Danio rerio: one gene and its partners. The protein of the gene in region 1 binds, or shares a complex with, the protein of each later gene. Links are inferred from orthologs where the notes say so. Each region holds a gene or a part of one and is shown in the gene's direction. Other genes may lie near its edges.

Region 1 (3,755 bases):
TCATTTTCTTGACTGCTTAGTTCCTTTATTAATCCAGGGTCGCCACAGCAGAGTGAACCGCCAACTTATCCAGCAAGTTTTTACGCAGCGGATGCCCTTCCAGCCGCAACCCATCTCTGGAAAACATACTGTGCTGTGTAGAATAAAAAATAAATTGAGCTAGGTACTGAGAAAATATAGCTACTATTTAAAGTAAACTTTAAATTTTTAAATAAACTGTGTGTAATCTGCCTTTTTTTAAGCATGTGTTACAACTAACCCTGTCTGTTACAACTTGAAGTGAGGTAAATAGTAACATTTTTACTCCTGGCACTTTTGGCAACACTGCAAAGAAACAATAGTCCGGCGATTATACAACCAGAGCTCATTTGTAGGAGAGGCTTGTGTTTTGTTGGTAAAAAAACAAATGGTTTGTTTAACCCCAAACCTTTGTTTATTATTTGACCAAAGCCAAAAAGTGTTACTTTGTGCCCCGCTCCCTTACTTAACTGATTAGTATGTAAAATATTGGATTCAGACATTAGATATATTACCAGATAAGAGCTGAACAAGCAGTTTTTCTCCAGCTTGAGGAACTACATATAGAGAGGGGCGTAATCGTTCAGGTCTAACCAATGAAACACGCCTTCACAGCGCGCACTCAAATCCTATTTGCTGAATGGTAAAGTCAGTCACCGAAGAGGAACGCCTTCAGACACTTCAGGAGTTTGTTTGCAGAGAACCGAGCAAAGGAAGATTCGTCCAAAACGTGAATGAATATTTTATAAAACCATATGAGCCGTAGCCTGAGGCTTCGTCCTGGAATGTCGTAACAAACGAAAATGAACTAATTTATGTGCGTATTATGCAACTACAGTATGTGTGAGTGTCAACAGTATCAAGCAGCTCGGAGTAAAATAACTGAAGAGCACTGTAAGAGCTTCAAATACAGTATAAAAGAATGGAATAATTCAAAGGGGGTCTAGCGCATTCATTGTCCTTTTGACTCGAGCATTTTAAGAAGCGTTCAGGAGAATCTATTTTGCTAATAGGGTCCAGCTACCATTACACAAATAAAACATGGTTACTTGTAAAAAAAAAAAACAAACAAACATGATAATTACGAATTATTCATGATTTTGCTACACTAACCACAGTTTAACCATTGTATTTACAGTAAAAACGTGATATAGGCTACACATGGTTATCTGTTATATTTTTTACCATAATGAAAGCATGGTTCGAAATAGGGGTAGCTCTATTCAAATCAGTTGGATAATCACATGCTCAAGTTAATGAGCCTAATTAACATAATTGATTGTCAGGCCTGTTGCACCAGCTTGGTTTGGTTGCTTCATGTTTGTGCATTTGATTTTTGTTGAACTGTGAATGTTATTTTAAAATATTGTAATGCACATGCTGATGCGCGTGTAGGAGAAATGGATACTGGGTTAGAGGACCTCGAGCTGAGAGAGTCACAGAGGGAATATCTGGACTTTCTGGATGATGATGTGAATAATTTGAATAATCTTTATGTGTTTGACTTGTGGGCATTTTGAACTGTATAAACTTTGTTTTTTGTCTGTCAAACTAAATCTTTTTTTATTGTAATTTACAGCAAGATCAGGGCATCTACCATGAAAAGGTCAGGAGTATGGTGTCTGATGGACAGTGTCGTCTCATTGTCAACATTAATGATCTGAGAAGAAAAAGTGAAAAAAGAGCTAAAGAGTAAGTGATTAATTTGATTAAAAGTTGTCTATTTTGTTTCATATTTTGCTTTTTTGACAATTTTAGATTTTTTCTTTAACGTTGTTTGCTCTTCGGGATTTGGTCAGTAACAAACATGTGGCCAGATACATGTGAAACTCTGGTGTAAACAGCATGGTTGATGTACTATATGTTGCTCTGCTGTCTAAAATATACAAAAAAAAAAAAAAAAAACATGGAAGCTGCTAAATCACTTACTAAAGCAGAATATGGTGTAGCATTTTGATTTAACATGTGGTAAAGGATACATTTGACCAGATTAGCCTAATGTTACACTCGCTTGAGCATAAATTATAAGAACAAACATGAACGTTATCAAGATTCTTGCCATGGAAATCGTGAATTAGTTTGGTCAACCACAAACACTTTTTGTTCTTCAGACAGCTTTTTTTTCTCTCTTCTGCTTGACTTTACATGGCTTTCAGTATTCTAATACAATCTAATAGCAAAGCCCAAAACAATTGATCATTTTCAGCAGTAGTAAGCAAATAATATGATTCTCAGTCAGTTCAGTCACATTGTTTACGTTCTGTGTTTCCAATATGGCTGACTGATGATGTGTGATGAAAATTCTCTGTAGAGGAGAGTGGGGACAGTTGCAACACTTTTTGCAATTCTTTCAGTTTCTCGAAGACAATTTTATTTTTTTTTTGTGGAACCCCAAAATTTTAAAACAATAAACTCACTTCTGTTGGACAGGCACCCATATTGCTATAATATGTGTAGATATGTTAATAAATTCTTCATTTATTACTTAAAGAAAGGGACAATTGCAACATTCATTCAAATTATAATTTAAAAAAAATCTAAAACCTCGAGTTGGATTTTATTTTTTGGTAAACCCACTAAATGAAAATTGGTTAAATTATTAAATGTGTTGGCCATATAAATACAAAACCTTAAAAAAAAAAAAAAAAAAAAACGAGCAACATCCAATTATAAGGCCTAAAAAAACTGAACTTTTTTTTTTTTTTTTTTTTTTACTGAAAGATTGAACCTTTACCAAACTACTACTAAGAATGTTGACATGAATTAATTAATCAAATATTTTTTTCAAATTATATTAAAACTGTGATCAATAAAATTGTACATTTGTTAATATGGCAAGCTTTCAAATGAATTTTATAACAATTGGGGACAGTTACAGAAGCATGTTCAGCAACTCTGTCAACCTTGATTAAACATTCCATGCTAGAGAGATACAATAGCTTGTTACAAACGCTTGATAGCTATACCTATTTAAAGCTATGAAAACAGTGATTTAAATTATACAAATGAATAATGTTTCACAAAAACAGATTGGGCTGTATGAGAAATTTTCTGATCATTACAAAAAACTATTTTTTTTTTTTTTTTTTTTTTTTAAATACCTAAAATGAGTTTTAGACTGAAGAAATGGTCACATATGGCTGATTTCTCTTGGATGGAAGAAGGATCCAACTGACAATATGTAGTATGAATATCATCCCTCCATAGCTCATTCCTTAATGGAGAAATAAGTCTTGTTGTAACTGCCCCATGTTGCCCCCATTCTCCCATACACTGTAAAAAATGCTGGATTTCACACAATCAATTTGTGTTAAAACATCTCGAAGAAAATAAGTTAACCTATTAGTTTTTACAAATGGATATTGATTTAACATAAAACTGTTAGGTTTCCCCCAAAAAAGCTTGAATTGTGTTGTTTCAGCTTATTTTAAATAAGTAGTGGAAGCGGCAAATGTAATTTTGAGTGTATATCCTTGAATCTTTATTGATCTGATTAAGTGTCTCTTTTTAATAGATTACTGAAGAATGCTTTCGCTGAGCTGGTGGCGTTTCAGAAAGCCCTGAAGGATCTCGTGGCTTCAATAGATGCCACTTATGCTAAGCAGTTTGAGGAGTTTCATGTTGGTTTCGAGGGCAGTTTTGGGAACAAACATGTGTCTCCTCGTACTCTGAGTGCTCGCTTTCTGGGAAACCTTGTGTGTGTGGAAGGCATCGTGACCAAGTGTGAGTAAGATTTA
Region 2 (3,655 bases), on another chromosome or scaffold:
ACGAACGCAGGGAGAACATGCAAACTCCACACAGAAACGCCAACTGAGCCGAGGCTCGACCCAGCGACCTTCTTGCTGTGAGGCGACAGCACTACCTACTGCGCCACTGCTGTAAACGCAAACCAAAATCGTCCCGGAGTGCAGGGGTCCGTTCTTCTTACCTCGCTTAAATGATCTAAGATGATTTGGCAGATCCTGGATCTTTTAATCTTGATAACTGATCTCTCGCTAATTTGGTTCTTCAAACAAGTTCGCAAATCAGATTAGAATGTCTGGATAAACTGATCTGAGATCGCTGCGTGTGTTGTAAAGGAAAGATCTATCCATCCTCGAAATCATGATCAGCAATGCAACGATTGGCTGACGGCACAGCAGCGTAATGACATCATCTGATTAATATTCAATTATCCATGTGAGCAAAATTACATCAAATTAGCAGTAAACGGCTTGTTAAATATGACACGCAATAACCTTCCACATTTGTTGTGAGCTGCAGGCTTTACACTTCATCATGTATTTCAATGCAAATCAATGTATTTAGTTCTACATTTAGAAAAGATTTTCTTTATTATAGTAGTTGTTTTTTTAATCGGTGTAAAGAATAACTGGTTGTTTACAAAAGCATTTTGATATTGGTAAAGGTGTCTGCAACTTTTGTGAAGCATCAAATCCATGGCATATTAACTATTAAAACATGTTTATGACTGCATAAATGTATTATTGCTTTAAAAAAAGTAACATATTCTGCATTTCTATTATACACAATTTGTACTAAAGCGATCTAAAAAGTTCATATCAATAAGTTTTCTCTTCGCACTACCAGGTGGCAGTCTTTGTACTTTCATTTCGAGGGTGCAGATTGCATAAGTTTTATTAATATGTATAACTTTATTTATTTTATTAATGACTATAACTTTATACATATATATATATATATATATATAGTTAAAAATATGTACCATTTTCCCAAGTGTATATAACTACTACTGTAAGAAAATATCAGAATTCAGAACATACTTTCTGTATTATATTTGCTTGAACTGAGCCGATCTAATCCTGTTTATATGAATTGAACCTGCTCCCGACCAGGTTTGACCTAGCAGAACTGTTGCTATGACAACAACTCTCGGATCAGCTTTGAAGAACGAAACGATCCTGGATCGTGTCAAATCATCAATATCCAAATCCAGCTAACTGAGTAATCCACGTACGAAGAACAGACCCCAGGAGCCTTTGCTCAAAGTACTCGTTAATGCTTAGTTTGAGGCAGTTTTAATGTGAGCATCATCACAGAGTAGATGAACAGTGTCTCCTAATGAGCGTCTCTTGTGTTTCAGGCTTGGCTCAATGAGAAGTTTTCTCCAGAACTGTTGGAGAACAAGTCTGAGCTGGTGGAGTGTGTGATGGAGCAGCTCACACACATGGTATGAGTCTGTCTGCAGTGTTTCTCAGTCTGATTAAACTTTGCGTGACGGATGTTAGCCTGTAGACGAGTCAGATTGACCGTTTCAGTATCGATCATGACTTGTGGTGTGATTTAGGAGGAAAACCTGCAGCGTGTGAGGAAAGGAGACCTGAAGGCCAGTGTTCACCGCATGGAGATCGACCGCATCCGCTTCGTTCTCAGCAGCTTCCTGCGCTCCCGACTCAAGAAGGTAAATCGAGCGTAATTTATTCAGAAAGACTGGCAGTACGCTATAGCGCATGTGTTTGGGACTGTGGGGGAAACACCCGGAGGAAACCCACGCCAACACGGGGAGAGCATGCGAACTCCACACTGAAACGCCAGTCGGGACTCACACCAGATCTGTTCTGTAGGCTGATGTTGTGTCCACGTCTGGTTTTCTCGTCTGCAGATCGAGAAGTTTTTCCCTCATGTTCTGGAGAAGGAGAAGTCCCGTGCTGATGGAGACCCCTCGTTCCTGTCTCCTGAAGAGTTCGCCTTCGCTAAAGAGTGAGTTCAGCGCAATCTGCGACTGTCGCACTGAGGATCTGTTCATGTCTGTCAGAGAGACGCTTCTGGACCGAATGATGAGGGCGATTGAGGACAGAGAGAGAGAGAATTTAAGTGTGTGTGTGTGTGTGTGTGTGTGTGTGTGTGTGTGTGTGTCTGTTTGTTTGTGTGTGTGCACGTCTGTCTATGTATGTGTGTGTCTGCATCTGTTTGTGTCTGTGTTTGTCTTTGCGTGTGTCTGTGTGTGTGTGTGTGTGTGTGTGTGTTTGTCTTTGTGTGTGTGGGTGTTTGTTTGTGTCTGTGTGTGTCTGTTTTTGTGTGTGTGTGTCTGTCTGTGTGTGTGTGTCTTTGTGCATTTTTGTTTGTGTGTGTACATATCTATGTATGTATGTATGTATGTATGTATGTATGTATGTATGTATGTGTGTGTGTGTGTGTGTCGGGTATGTATGTGTGTGTTTGTGTTAGTGTGTGTGTCTGTGTGTGTGTGTCTTTTTGCAATTTTGTGTGTGTGTGTGTGTGTGTACATGTCTATGTATGTATGTATTTGTGTGTGTCGGGTATGTATGTGTGTGTGTTTGTGTTTGTTAGTGTGTGCACGTCTGTCTGTATGTGTGTGTGTGTCTGTGTGTTTTTTGTTTGTGTCTGTGTTTGTGTCTGTTTGTCTGTGTGTCTGTGTGTATGTGTGTCTGGTATGTATGTGTGTGTGTGTCTGTTAGCGTGTATGTGTGTGTGTGTGTGTGTGTGTGTGCACGTCTGTCTATGTATGTGTGTGTCTGTGTGTTTTGTTTGTGTCTATGTGTGTTTGTGTCTGTGTGTTTGTCTGTCTGTGTGTGTGTGTCTGTCTGTTTGTCTGTGTGTGTGTGTGTGTGTCTGGTATGTGTGGGTGTTTGTTAGCGTGTATGTGTGTGTGCACGTCTGTCTATGTATGTGTGTGTCTGTGTGTTTTTTGTTTGTGACTATGTGTGTTTGTCTTTGTGTGTGTGTTTGTGTCTATCTGTGTGTGTGTCTTTGTGTGAGTGTGTGTGTAAATGTCTGTGTGTGTGTATGTGTGTATATGTGTTTGTCTGTCTTTGTGTGTATGTGTGTGTTTGTCTGTCTGTCTCTGTGCGTGTGTGAATGAGTGTGTACCTGATATCCATTACATTATGGGGACAATAAAATACAGCAATTCCAGTACATTTTGACATTGTGGGGACATTATTTTGGTTCCCTTGAGGAAAAGTGGCCCATAAATCAGACAGAATGAAGTATTTTGTAAGATGTAAATTTGCAGATTGTTTCCAGTGAGGGTGGGGTTGGGGAAGAGTAAATACAATAGAAACATCATTACATCTATGGTGAAGTCCCCAATAAACATGAAAACTCAATGTGTGTGTGTGTGTGTTCAGGTATCTGGCGAACACAGAGGTTTACCTGCGAGCCGTGGCTTTGAAACATATGCCACCAAACCTGCAGAGCGTCGACATGATGAAGGCCGGTGAGAAACACTTCTGTATTGAAATAGCCCCTATTATGCATTAAAAGGTCATGTTGTGGATTTGGGGGTCTCCAACAACAGGCTGATCTGCATATAGGGTCAAAAAACACCTTCATTGTCTTATAATATGCGTTTATTTTTACCTGATTACCTAACGACTCCCAGGTGATTCAATCAGTGATTCATTTTTTTTTCCCCCGAACAACGACTGTAAAAAATAT
Region 3 (3,655 bases), on another chromosome or scaffold:
GGTAGAATGTCCTATATACTTAATGTTAAATTCTTTATTCATATGGCTTATTGGGCGGTGGCTCAGGGGTTTGCACAGTCGCCTCACAGCAAAAAGGTCACTGGTTTGAGTCCCACCTTTTGTGTGGAGTTTTCTCTGGGTGCTCCGATTTCCCACACAGTCCAAAGACATGTGGTACAGGTGAATTGGCTAAACAAAGTTGGCTGTAGTGTATGAGTGTGTGTGTGAATGTGAGAGTGTATGGCTGTTTTCTAGTACTGGGTTGTGGCTGGAAGGACATCCGCTACATAAAACATTTGCTGGAATAGTTGGGGATTCATTTCTCTGTGGCGATCCATGATAAATAATGGACTAAATTGAAATAAAGGAAAGGGGATTAAGATAGCATGTTTTGTGCCATCTCTGAATTACAGGTTTTGTTTAGACCATACTTTTTTGGTCACTTACAGCTAGCTACTTGAGTATGTATCTGATTTATTGATTAATTTTTCCAGGGAGATTTAGGCCCGTTCAACCCAGGTCTGCCTGTTGAAGTTCCTGTCTGGTTGGCCCTCAATCTTAAACAACGGCAGAAATGCAGGATAGTTCCTCCAGAATGGATGGACACAGGTGAGTTTCAGTCTGTCTGTGCTGGGACACCATCTATTCTGAAGGCAGGCTCTAAACGCTGCTGATCTTTTCATTTTCAGACAAACTAGAAGACATCCGTGAACAGGAGAGGAAATTAGACACTTTTACTCCCATCCCAAATCCATATTACATGGAGCTGACCAAATTATTACTCAACCAGTGAGTATCAGATCTCCTTCAGCCTTGTTTTTTAATGTAATGTCAGAGTGTGTCTCATTGAGGCTGTTTACACCTGGTCATTTCATGCATGATGCATAATTGTGAAAACGGATCTATTTCTATTTGTTCATATAATTGTGTCGCCACTAAAATGACAACGATCTTTAAATCCTTCACTATTTGGGGTTCTCGGTAAAATGTGAAATGTCCTGTTATCCTCCTATGATTTGGTGTGTCCTGTGATCCACAGTTAAAAATATACATTTTTTATTTTGGTTTGGGGATAAAAACAACTGCAGCAATACTGCCTTGTACACTTTAGATTACAGGGCTCAACAATAAGGACTGCCCGATGGCCCGGGGCCAGCGTGTGAGATGCTCGGGACAGTAGACAGGATCGTTACTGGCCCGATCGGGCCACTGCTGCCTTGTTACTAAAGTTTAATTTTCCTGTGATTATTTGTCAATTGCGTGCAAATACAGTTTTAGAATTGAGAAACAGTACGTATTTTCCTTATACCACTTATACCAAACGTTCTGCTCACACAACCCCAATTTTGTACGACCTCCATTGGCTCCCAGTTGCTTATCGCATTAAATTCAAAATTCTCCTCCTTGCATTTAGATCCCTAAATAGCCTAGCTCCCTCCTATCTCTGCAGCATACTTGTCCCCTACACCCCAACTCGTTCATTACGTTCCGCTGACTCTGGCCTTCTCGCTGTCCCTCGGTACCGCCTCTCTTCAATGGGGGGCAGATCATTTAGTGTTATTGCACCCAAACTCTGGAACTCTCTACCACACTCACTCCGCTGACGTCAACTTTCCTCACATCTCAGTGTGTTGAGTTCTTGAATTTATATCGTGTCTGTGTGAAGGAGAGAAACCACGAAAGTGCAAGTGGGACCACAACACAGTACATTGCCTTCAGTCACTCAATGTAAATTCACAAACAAAAAAAAAACAAATGCTGGTTTTCTTGCAAAACCCTGGCCTATAATTGTTAAAATAAAATAGCTTACACTGGGTCATTTATGTTAATTTTGAAAACTATACAGATCTTTGATTAAAATGTTAAATTTTTTATTTACTTATTTTTTTGCAGGAGGACAAAAACTGCTTGTATTTTTATATTTTATAAGTTGAGTTGTTAGATGTCCGTTATTCAATAAATAGGTGTTCAATTTGTTTTTTAAATTTGTTTGGAGCCATTTTTCTTTCTAAACAGCACATATCATACCAAAACTGTTATATTTACGGAACTGTGAGAAGTTTGAACGGTTGCAGCCCTACTTTCTACAGTATATACAAATGTATGTAGATAGCATAATCTAAAGCATCAGATACACTGCATTTTATTTATTCGTTCATTTTCTTTTTGGCTTAGTTCCTTTATTAATTAGGGGTCACCACAACGGAATGAACCACCAACTTTGTTGGTGCCATCTTTGAAACGGCTCTCGGGCAGTATGCTCAAAATTGCTTGCTAAACTTAAGATTAAATTTCATATCAGGAGTCACCAATAAAATAAAACAACAACTACTGTCACTTTAGTTTCATTTCTAAACATTTGAATCACACAAAATCTGCAGAAACTCATGTCTGACCTAAGCCCCTTCCCCGGGGAATCATCAGTCTATAGCGATCAATAATTGGCACCTGCACTAGAAGGTGGGGCTTCATTCGCCATATTGATATACGCTTACGATTAAACTCCATATTAGGAATCGCCAATAAAATTAAACAAGAACGGTCTCTTTAGTTTGTATTTCTAAGTGTTTGAATCAAACAAAATCTGCAGAAACTCACGCCTGGTCTGAGCCTCTCCCCGGAGTATCGTCAGTCTATAGCAGGGGTTGAGAACCTTTTTTTCGGCAAAGAGCCATTTTTGATTTTTTTTTTTTTTAAAATGCAGTTTTTTAAAGACCTATTGGATATAAACAATACAGGTTTAAACAACACCTTTATTTATGTACATGCACAACTCAAAAATAAACAAATATGAAGCATCACATGTTGAGCAAGTTTATGAACAAAGAATGGACAATTTATAGAACTTTTTCTTTTTGACATCATCATAAATGTTGTTTGAATTTTCATGCGTGAGGTTATAGAAGTGTAGGGTTCTATTTTAACGATCTAGGCACGAAGTCTAAAGCTATAAATAAATGAACAATAATAACAAAGTGTGGTCAAAAAAACTGAATTATATACTAACACACGTGCTATGCCCCATATGGTCCAAAACCCGACAGATGGACAAATCTTTTTAATAAAACAAATATAATGCGCATATAATAAATAATACTACTAATAGTTATAACATTATTAAAAAGCAAGTTGTTGTAAATAAACTGAAAAAAGCCTCCCGAGATAAAGGTATGAAGGTTTATATGTTTATGTAGAAAATTCAAATTTTTGTAATATTTTAATCCTTTAATTCTTTTTCAGTTGTACAGATATTTGTGTATAGTTGTACTTCCTTTGGTTTTAAGCAATGTGTAAGCGAGGTGGACACCTGACTCGCTCTGTGCTGGACTTTAGACCTTTCAGCTGGTCTAATGCTCAGTCTATTTTAGTTTCTCAAATTAAACAACACCAAACAATGTGCCTTAACACACCTGTTTTCTGGAGCGGAACACCCATGAGTCCACAAAGTGGCGCAAATGGATTTGCTTTTTAAACAATGCGGCAGAAAACTGGAAAATTAAGGTTGCGCTGGTCTAAAAATAGCAACACGTCGGGGCAAACACGTCTTGTGACTTATCGCGCCGGGTGTATGATAGGGCCCCTTAAGTTGTTTGCTTATTTCTTATAAATTTTTCTGTAAATAAATACAATAAAAAAGGAAATGTAATTTTATTTT

Evidence for each region. The genes of interacting proteins can lie anywhere in the genome.
Region 2: mcm3l (region 1) and gins4 share a complex: the UniProt entries of both Homo sapiens proteins name them as parts of the CMG helicase complex. The link is inferred for Danio rerio from reciprocal best matches to the Homo sapiens genes MCM3 and GINS4.
Region 3: mcm3l (region 1) and gins2 share a complex: the UniProt entries of both Homo sapiens proteins name them as parts of the CMG helicase complex. The link is inferred for Danio rerio from reciprocal best matches to the Homo sapiens genes MCM3 and GINS2.

The regions. Positions count from the first base shown.
Region 1 is NC_133195.1:6,685,546-6,689,300, reverse strand, and holds the start of mcm3l (MCM3 minichromosome maintenance deficient 3 (S. cerevisiae), like), read left to right. Parts: upstream 1-1,299; 5' UTR 1,300-1,418; coding exon 1,419-1,490; intron 1,491-1,597; coding exon 1,598-1,710; intron 1,711-3,532; coding exon 3,533-3,741; intron 3,742-3,755. UniProt on the Homo sapiens protein: Acts as a component of the MCM2-7 complex (MCM complex) which is the replicative helicase essential for 'once per cell cycle' DNA replication initiation and elongation in eukaryotic cells.
Region 2 is NC_133183.1:62,250,890-62,254,544, forward strand, and holds part of gins4 (DNA replication complex GINS protein SLD5), read left to right. Parts: intron 1-1,337; coding exon 1,338-1,424; intron 1,425-1,541; coding exon 1,542-1,655; intron 1,656-1,856; coding exon 1,857-1,954; intron 1,955-3,345; coding exon 3,346-3,434; intron 3,435-3,655. UniProt on the Homo sapiens protein: Required for correct functioning of the GINS complex, a complex that plays an essential role in the initiation of DNA replication, and progression of DNA replication forks.
Region 3 is NC_133193.1:32,044,768-32,048,422, reverse strand, and holds part of gins2 (DNA replication complex GINS protein PSF2), read left to right. Parts: intron 1-494; coding exon 495-609; intron 610-689; coding exon 690-789; intron 790-3,655. UniProt on the Homo sapiens protein: Required for correct functioning of the GINS complex, a complex that plays an essential role in the initiation of DNA replication, and progression of DNA replication forks.